2 linked regions of the Danio rerio genome follow. The protein of the gene in region 1 interacts with the protein of each later gene in a pairwise test. Links are inferred from orthologs where the notes say so. Each region holds a gene or a part of one and is shown in the gene's direction. Other genes may lie near its edges.

Region 1 (4,276 bases):
AATTTATGAAAACATTCTGTTATTAGTCTAATAGATTTTTATTATGAATTAGTTTTACATTAGCAGGACAGTAGGTTCAAATAAGTTATATTGTACAACATTTTTTTAAAAGTAACGTTAGGGGTTTATTTAAGATTGTACTTACCTTTCTGCTAATTTGAGATTGAAACAGATTCATAAAGCTGATTAGTTGAAGGTGGACAGAAGACATATAAAGGTATCATGTAACGTTAATCTGTCAATGAAAGCACCGGGCAGAGCAGGAGTGCGCGGGAACGAAACGCCCTGAAGCAAAACCCGCGCATGGGCTTTTAATCTGTTTTAAGGTGCTTTTGTATCTTTGAGTTCTGACCTGCTAAACCAAATAGTTTGTAAGAAGATTAACTGAGAACTTTTCTGCACTTCCTTGTAGCAGTAACCTTTGAACTGTGTCTGCGCAGTGCATTTTGGGAAATGTAGTTTTTAACGCCACGTTAATATTTTCATAAAAACAAAAGAGGTGCTTTAAAATGCCAGCGAGTTTATGACTGTTTACAACTTTATTTGATTCAACTGAAATTTCTCCCTTTTTACAATAAAAAATTGCACAAAAAAAATAAAAAAATAAAAATTTAGAATAAAATATATAAAAAGAAACGTAAATTTTAAATGCTTTAAACAATAAATTAGTTTAAAATAAACAATCAAACATTATATTGAGATATAAAATAAAAAATAAACAATTTAATAATTGTAAAAAATAATGAAATAACTGACACAAATATGAGTACATAACATATTATAAATTATCCAACATGCAATTTTTAAAAATATTAAAACAATTGACAAATAAAGACAAATAAATACAAGTTTAATTAAAGAGGATAATTATTTTTTAAGAAAGTAAATGTGTTAATAATTAATATATTCAGAAATACAATATCATAATTCTATAATATAATACAAATAGAAATAGACCAAATATGACCTCTATTATTTGCAAATAATTAGGTAGATCAATTTTTAACACTATTTTGTCACATTACGAAGTGGGTCATTAAACAGAAATGACATAGATCGAACCATATCTTAGATAAACAACTAAACAAAAACGAATATATCAAGAAACAGTGGCGGTGCCATAGACTGTAAAACAGTAGCGGTCGGTTTGCGTTCAGGACTCTTATTTTGGCATCAATTTTATTCCTTAGTAACCCGTACGGTCGCTCGCTTCGCTTCACTCAGGTTGTAGAGTTGTTCAGAAAAGGAGTACTGCAAGAGCTTTGTTAATTATTGCTAAATGATCTATTTAAATAGTTAGATAAACTACACAATTTTAACATTATCTAGCTCTTCATATTTTATTAATTGCGAGTGTTATTAATCATACTTCGTTATAGTCGAACAGAAGATATAAGCCGACTGTAGTATTAGCTATGGCTGGCAGTAGCATAGCGATGAAAACATGGGAGCTGTCAAACAGCATGCAGGAAGTTCAGAGTATCGACGAAATATATAAATATGACAAAAAACAACAACAAGAAATTCTGGCGGCCAAACCGTGGACTAAAGAGTAAGTAAACAAAACCAAAATGATGTCTCCTAGAGGCCCGGCTTGTTTTCGAATTATTAATACCACTGTTGTGTAACCTACACTGTTTTAATTGTTTACAGTCATCATTATTTTAAATACTGCAAGCTATCGGCGTTGGCACTGCTGAAGATGGTGATGCACGCTAGATCTGGAGGAAACCTGGAGGTGATGGGACTTATGCTGGGGAAGGTGGATGGAGAGACCATGATCATCATGGACAGTTTTGCTTTACCAGTGGAAGGCACTGAAACCAGAGTCAACGCTCAGGCTGCAGCCTATGAATACATGGCTGCTTATATAGAGAATGCTAAACAGGTACACTGACTTATAATTACTCTAAAATTCATATTAGATGAATAGTGATAAATATAAGCACAGTTTGTTTATAAACATGATCATATCCACTGCTTTATATGTGGAGCATGTATGCTGATCTTTAAGATTTTCTAATCAAGAGCAATATCATCACAAATATTTTATTAATTGTTATTTATAATTATTCTGCATTACGTTTTTAGGATTGATCCAATGTTATGTGAGAAGCTACATGTTGTGGTTACCTTTTTAAAACGTGTATATAAAAATTACAATTTAAAGAGTAAAGAAAGTTATTGGTTTGTATTCTGTTTTCATGTTTAGGATTAATAGAGAGAATATATGAAGTAGTTGGACATCTAAATATGTATCGCATCACAGAACCATTTAAATCTAATAAACTCGAATGTGATTTAAAAAAAAATCTAAAATAAAAAGTGAACAGTTACCAGAACTAAAATAAACATGAATTGTATTCCTATACTCCTCTAAAAATCATCCTAGATCTTTTATAATTATTATTTATTTAGTCTTTACTTTCTAATATTAATTGAGAGACGGAACAGAATTCTTGTCACAGGACTTGAAACAAAAAGAAATTGAATGCTATTAAATTAAAAAGGTCTATTTGGAAAGAATGTATAGTTTTCGATACGTTGACATTCTAATGTAAGGGAGTGGGTCCACATAAAATATAATAAACCAATACAGTAGAGAACAAATAGAAAATAAAAGGCAAATAAAATATACAGTGCTTTATGATTTTCTAGAAGTCTAGCAATATTCAGATTTACAAATTTAATAATCCAGTGTGAAACCATTCTAACCATAAAGTTAGAAATGTAATTTCTTTTGCTAGAGTAAATGGTGAAAACGCACAGAAATAGTGAAGGTTTTGGTAACTTTATGGTTGAACGTTGCAATGACTGCACACATCATGAGTGTTTTCAAATGTGGTTCCTGGTCAATTATAATAACGGTTCGACATTGCAGATCCTGCGATGTGACTATTGCAGATGCGCACATTGCGGTATCAATTTTAAAACAGTATATTATGCAGCCCTATTATATAAATATAATTTTTTTTTTTTTTTTATTCAGTTTTCATACTTTACTATTGAGGGACTGCATGCAGTAAGGACACAGATGTGTTTATCACATCAAAGTAATTAATAAATACTACAAAAAATTTAAATACTTAACAGATGCAATACAGGAACAGAAATGAACAAGCAAATTAATTTTTTACTCTAACAATATTTTAAAGATTTTTTATTATTATAATTATCATTAATATTATTATTATTCAGATTGAAAGGTCTAATATTAATTGAGATATATTTGCCATTAAATATGATTTTAAAAATAAAATAAAAAATAAAATTTGACAAGCGACAGGAACTCAAAAATGCACTTTATAAATGTATAAACACATTATGCATCAATTCGCAATAACCAGCATATGAAAGAATTGATATGGAAGTTCAATAATTCTGAGGTTAATTGTCTATATATTTATTTAGGTGGGGCGGTTGGAGAATGCCATTGGATGGTACCACAGTCATCCAGGATACGGCTGCTGGCTTTCAGGCATAGATGTCAGCACTCAGATGCTTAACCAGCAGTTTCAAGAGCCCTTTGTCGCAGTAGTGGTAAGCGCTGTTGGAAATGTTAAACTTGTTGCATATTTTGCTGATTTCCCTCTTTAAAGCGGGTTACCATCCATCTCAAAAGACACAAGGGGAAAACAGCTCCGCTATGAAATAGTTAAAAGTATCGGTTTAAATTCAGCTTTATCAGTGATCCATAATTGACCCTCAAGACACAAATGAGTTGATGACATTTGTACTGCTGTCTGATTAATGACTGTTGCCTTTGTAACAGAATACATTATACAGTTTATCCTTCATTGCTTATGTAGTGCCGAGGGCAAATAGCAAGCTGGCGTTCATAACTTTCACTCGCAAAACTGGCAGCTTACTGTTTTTATTTGTTATATTTGACTGAACTCTTTTGCTAATTTCAGTCCTTGTAATTTTTCATCCTCAGATCGATCCCACAAGGACTATATCCGCAGGGAAGGTCAATCTTGGAGCTTTCAGGACATATCCGAAGGTAGCAACTATTTTTAGGCAACTGTATCTAATTTATATGCGTTTTATAAGATGTTGAATCACATTCAAATGTTTAAAAATAGGGTTACAAGCCTCCAGATGAGGGTCCTTCTGAATACCAGACGATACCTCTTAACAAAATTGAGGATTTTGGAGTGCATTGCAAACAGTAAGTGTGCATGACATATTGAATATATTTCCTTTTTTTTAGCCTTTTTATGCACTTGTTATATTTTGAAAATATATTGACTTGCAGTTAACGATAAGCTGTTGT
Region 2 (4,396 bases), on another chromosome or scaffold:
ACCACCCGCTGTCGGACAGTGCGCCAGAGAAACCTCTCCGGCATGAAACCATTTCTTTAACGATTCATTCCTGAATTTGCGTGTTAATGTTGTCCTTAATTTAAAATTTCACCTAAATTTAGTGCGATATGTCAGTCATGGTATTTCACCATTTGTTAACATGTTGTAAATGACAGATGTTCATACAATGATGCACAGTGGTTGGAAATAATTTCGTCGAATCGGTTCATTTGAACAAGGAACCGATTTAATGATTCTGTTTGGTCAACTGCACGTAATTAACAATTAAATACGTAATTTTGGTCCAATTTGTAGTGTAGCATTTAAATAAATCAACATGACAACACAACATCGACACAAATTTTTTTTTTACAATTCTGTCCTGCTGTGTGAAAGAACCGGTTAATAATGCACATAGATAAGATCCGACTCAAATGAACAATTCGTACGCTGGGTTGCCAAATCTGCTATTTCACAACACAATTTGATCATTTTGAAGAAATATTTCACCGAAAAAAATCTGAGGATATTTACTCATCCTGCACTTTTCCAAACCAATTTGAAGTACAAAGTTTTTTTTTACACAAATTGAGGGGTTAGGAACCATTTTAGGACAAGTAAATAAAAATAATTATATTAATAATAATAATAATAACATTTTCACTTTAACTGTCCCTTTAACTTCAACATGTTTCACAGCAAAAAGTTAAAATGTGTGCAGAAATGTGTGATTATAAGTAAAAGATTAGCTTTAGTATAATGTTCTTAAATCTTAAAGCTACATTTTAACTTATTGAAAAAGAATAACCACTTTTTTTCCAAAATATTGTATTCACTAAACTGTTCATCTTAAAGAAACAATTCACACAAAAGTGAAAAATTAATTAATTAATTCTAAAAACGAATTGTAAAATTATTTACTCACCCTAAAACCATCTGAGATGTAGATGACTTGTTTGTTTCATAAGTAAATAAATACGATTTTGTTTTTGTTGAAACCATGATCCCTTTTCATATATTGGAACTGGCTCTTTGAGTGTCAGTAAAATAAAATAAAACTCCTGTATCTAATAATATTCTGATGAAAAATAAGGCAAGATGCTTTTTTGACTAACTCTGATTACATACATTGAAATATTCGCGTGTGACTATAAAATATATATACTTGTGTATTATGAGCACGTGTATGTGAAGAGGCATATTTCGAGTTTTGACTTGTTTAGTCAAGATTGGGCTAGTTTTATGCAAGTTTTCCACGCCCAAAGGATGGCTATTTAACAGAGATCTGGCAACCCTCCTACATAACAACATGGCAGCTGCACACGGGTCGTCTCCACATAGCAGCGCGGGTATGGAGGGTTTCCCGTTCCCCGTGGCTGGCAAACCACCCGAGGACAGTACGAGTAATGACCAGACCACTACCGGAGAGACGAAAAAGAAACCTTGCCGAGCTTGTACGGATTTTAAGTCATGGATGAAGTTACAGAAACAGGCGTCCTCAGCCTCGGTGCAGGTGAACAATTATGAATGAAGTCAAGAAAATTCTGTTTAGATATAACGTTAAAATGTCCAACACGATGTCTGCTTTAATTGTGAACAATCAAAAGAATAGCAGTGTTTTGGACTTGTACTTTTTAATACAGCTGCCTCTGTAAAGGTGTGGATTTGACATGTCAGAAGGTATTTGAGTATTCCCTAACTTCATATTCATATGCTCATATGGCTGACAACTGTTTCGGGCGGTGGGGGTAATATTTTTATTAAAGTTATGGTTGATGTGGTTATAAAATGTTTATTCAGTGGGGTAATAAATATTTAACAAGTATTTAAGTAATAAGTATAGAATATAAATGAAAAATAAGTGTTGGGGAATTAAGTATTGATTAAGTATAGGATATAAATGTAGAAACATACACTTTAACACTAAAACAATTTAGATAATGAATGCTAAAAAAAAAACATGAAATCAATATGACATATGATATTTTCTCTACAGTTTTGCTAAAGAAACATGTAGCATAAAGATATAATATATTCAGGGTTCAGACGGTCATGGAATTTTGACATGGCATTTTCCAGGCCTGGAAAAGTTTTGGAAAATCAGAAAAACCCACAAAGATTGGGAAAAGTCATGGAAATTAGTTTAACAAATATCTGTATACTTAAATATAGGTTAGTGGTCTTTACTTCGTTTCTGTCCATGGCCAAACACATCCTCTCACATTATCAGTGCTGTGTGAACATTTACTAAATACATTTTTCATAGATATAAAGATTCATTTAAAATAAATAGATCGTTGCATGTTTTATGATATGCTGTAATAATTTTGAACGTGCATTGTTTTTCTTATTATTTACCATGTATACGTAGACATTACATGAAACATTAGGTTATGAAAATGTACTTGATAGTCATGGAAAAGTCATTTAATTTTAATAGTCAAATGTTTATGAACCCTTTAAATTGGTATATTGTTTATTTAAATTAAATGACCTATTTGGGGATGTGAGGGAGTTTATTGATATTACAATCATGTCAGTTGTAGTTGATGTGTAAAAATAATCATTAATTTAATACGTTGGTTACTATAACACTGCACTATATAAAATCTATTTTAATATTGTTTTTTCTAACAGTGGTTTTCAACCAGGGAACCTCAGAGTCTCAGCAACAATATTAAAATAAATGTGATATAAAACATGAATATAATCGTAAAATGCAACGTGATATGTTGTACAGGAGAGCAGGCCGGTGGAGGAGCTGAAGCCTGTTGAATGTCCGCTGGACCGCGAGGAGCTGGGTAGGAGCTCGTGGTCTTTTCTTCACACTATGGCTGCGTATTATCCAGATGCACCGAGCACAGAACAGCAGCTCGAGATGACGCAGTTCATCAACCTTTTCTCTAAGGTTTTCCCATGTGATGAATGCGCAGAAGACCTGAGAACAAGGTCTTCATCTTTAATTGCTGTGGTTTTCATGTTTGTCCATTGCTGTTTTCAGCAGCACATGATTCAGTCAGTTTGTTTACATGGACAACAATTCTGATATTAAATGTAGCTCTCTGATTAACGATCTCTACCATGTAAACAGATTTTTATTAACATTAATACAGAAAGTTATACTCAAAGTAAACACAAGTGTAATTCACTCATCTGGAGTAGTGCTATTTTACTCATATTATCAAAGTGTGGTATATAGACATGTACGCATATATCACTTTATTACTGTCATGTAGGATTTTTGGTTACAGCACAGTGATACAGCAGTAATCAAAAGTTTGACGACATGGCTGAGAGGGCAGAATTTGTTTCTACTAAGGTCTGTTTACATCAGGCGTGTCCAAACTCGGTCCTGGAGGGCCGGTGTCCTGCATATTTTACTTCCAACCCCAATCAAACACACCTGGGATAGCTGATCAAGCTCTTACTAGGCTTTCTTGAAACATCCATGCAGGTGTGTTGAGGCAAGTTGGAGCTAAAATCTGCAGGACACCAGCCTTCCAGGACCGAGTTTGGACACCCCTGGTTTACATGTATAGCATGACCAATGGTGTAAAGTAACATATTGCAAATGCACAAATCACTGTAATTGCATAGTTTTTCTAAGGAATTAATTACCGAGTAGTTTTAAAATGTGTACTTTTATCCAAGTACATTTTTAGTACTGTATTAGAACATTTACTGTCGTATTTTCCTTCAACCTGCAGTAACTACTCTATTTTTTTCTTGCCTACTGTGATTGGCTTAGTAGAATAATCAGTCCTATCCAATCACATCACACAGGAATAAATCACATCAAGTTTTCAAACACAAGCACACAGTGCTTTAATTCCATCATTGCTGCATGAGCTTGGTTTGACAGCATTCAAAGCATTAACATACTGTATCATCACAGCTAGATTTTTGGCCTTTAGTTTACACATTTTTCACTCCACATATAAATGCTTTCCTAAAATTAAAAACTGTATATGGTACCATAAAGATGATGAACTGTATGTTGATATTTGAAAATCAGTCAGATGGCATCACATAGGGACATAATGACATGTGCCATTCTAGTATTTACTATAACCTGCAACGTGTGGTGGCCGAGAGAGCTCAAACAATTTTCAAGATAAAACAACATTCACAAATTGAGTGAACATCTTCATCAGTTTGACAACATGCACAAGCAAACTCTTAACAACACATGCAAACAACACAGAGTTAACTCCATAAATGTACTGTCCCTTGTTTGTATGTGTTTAGCTCTAATGATCTGTCAAAGTGCACAATTAACATTAAATGAAATGTTACTGTAATGCCATGTCAACAAGAGCTACTCAGAACTACAAATATCAAGGAATGATATGACCAGGGTCCGGTTTCCCCCACAGTCCAGAGATATGCGGTACAG

The links.
Region 2: the proteins of cops5 (region 1) and gfer interact in a two-hybrid assay, tested with the Homo sapiens proteins (2 studies listed by BioGRID). The link is inferred for Danio rerio from reciprocal best matches to the Homo sapiens genes COPS5 and GFER.

What each region holds. Positions count from the first base shown.
Region 1 is NC_133199.1:27,636,248-27,640,523, forward strand, and holds the start of cops5 (COP9 signalosome complex subunit 5), read left to right. Parts: upstream 1-1,235; 5' UTR 1,236-1,415; coding exon 1,416-1,552; intron 1,553-1,653; coding exon 1,654-1,888; intron 1,889-3,411; coding exon 3,412-3,540; intron 3,541-3,937; coding exon 3,938-4,003; intron 4,004-4,085; coding exon 4,086-4,171; intron 4,172-4,276. UniProt on the Homo sapiens protein: Probable protease subunit of the COP9 signalosome complex (CSN), a complex involved in various cellular and developmental processes.
Region 2 is NC_133178.1:39,110,479-39,114,874, forward strand, and holds the start of gfer (FAD-linked sulfhydryl oxidase ALR), read left to right. Parts: upstream 1-1,294; 5' UTR 1,295-1,309; coding exon 1,310-1,513; intron 1,514-2,740; coding exon 2,741-2,949; intron 2,950-4,396.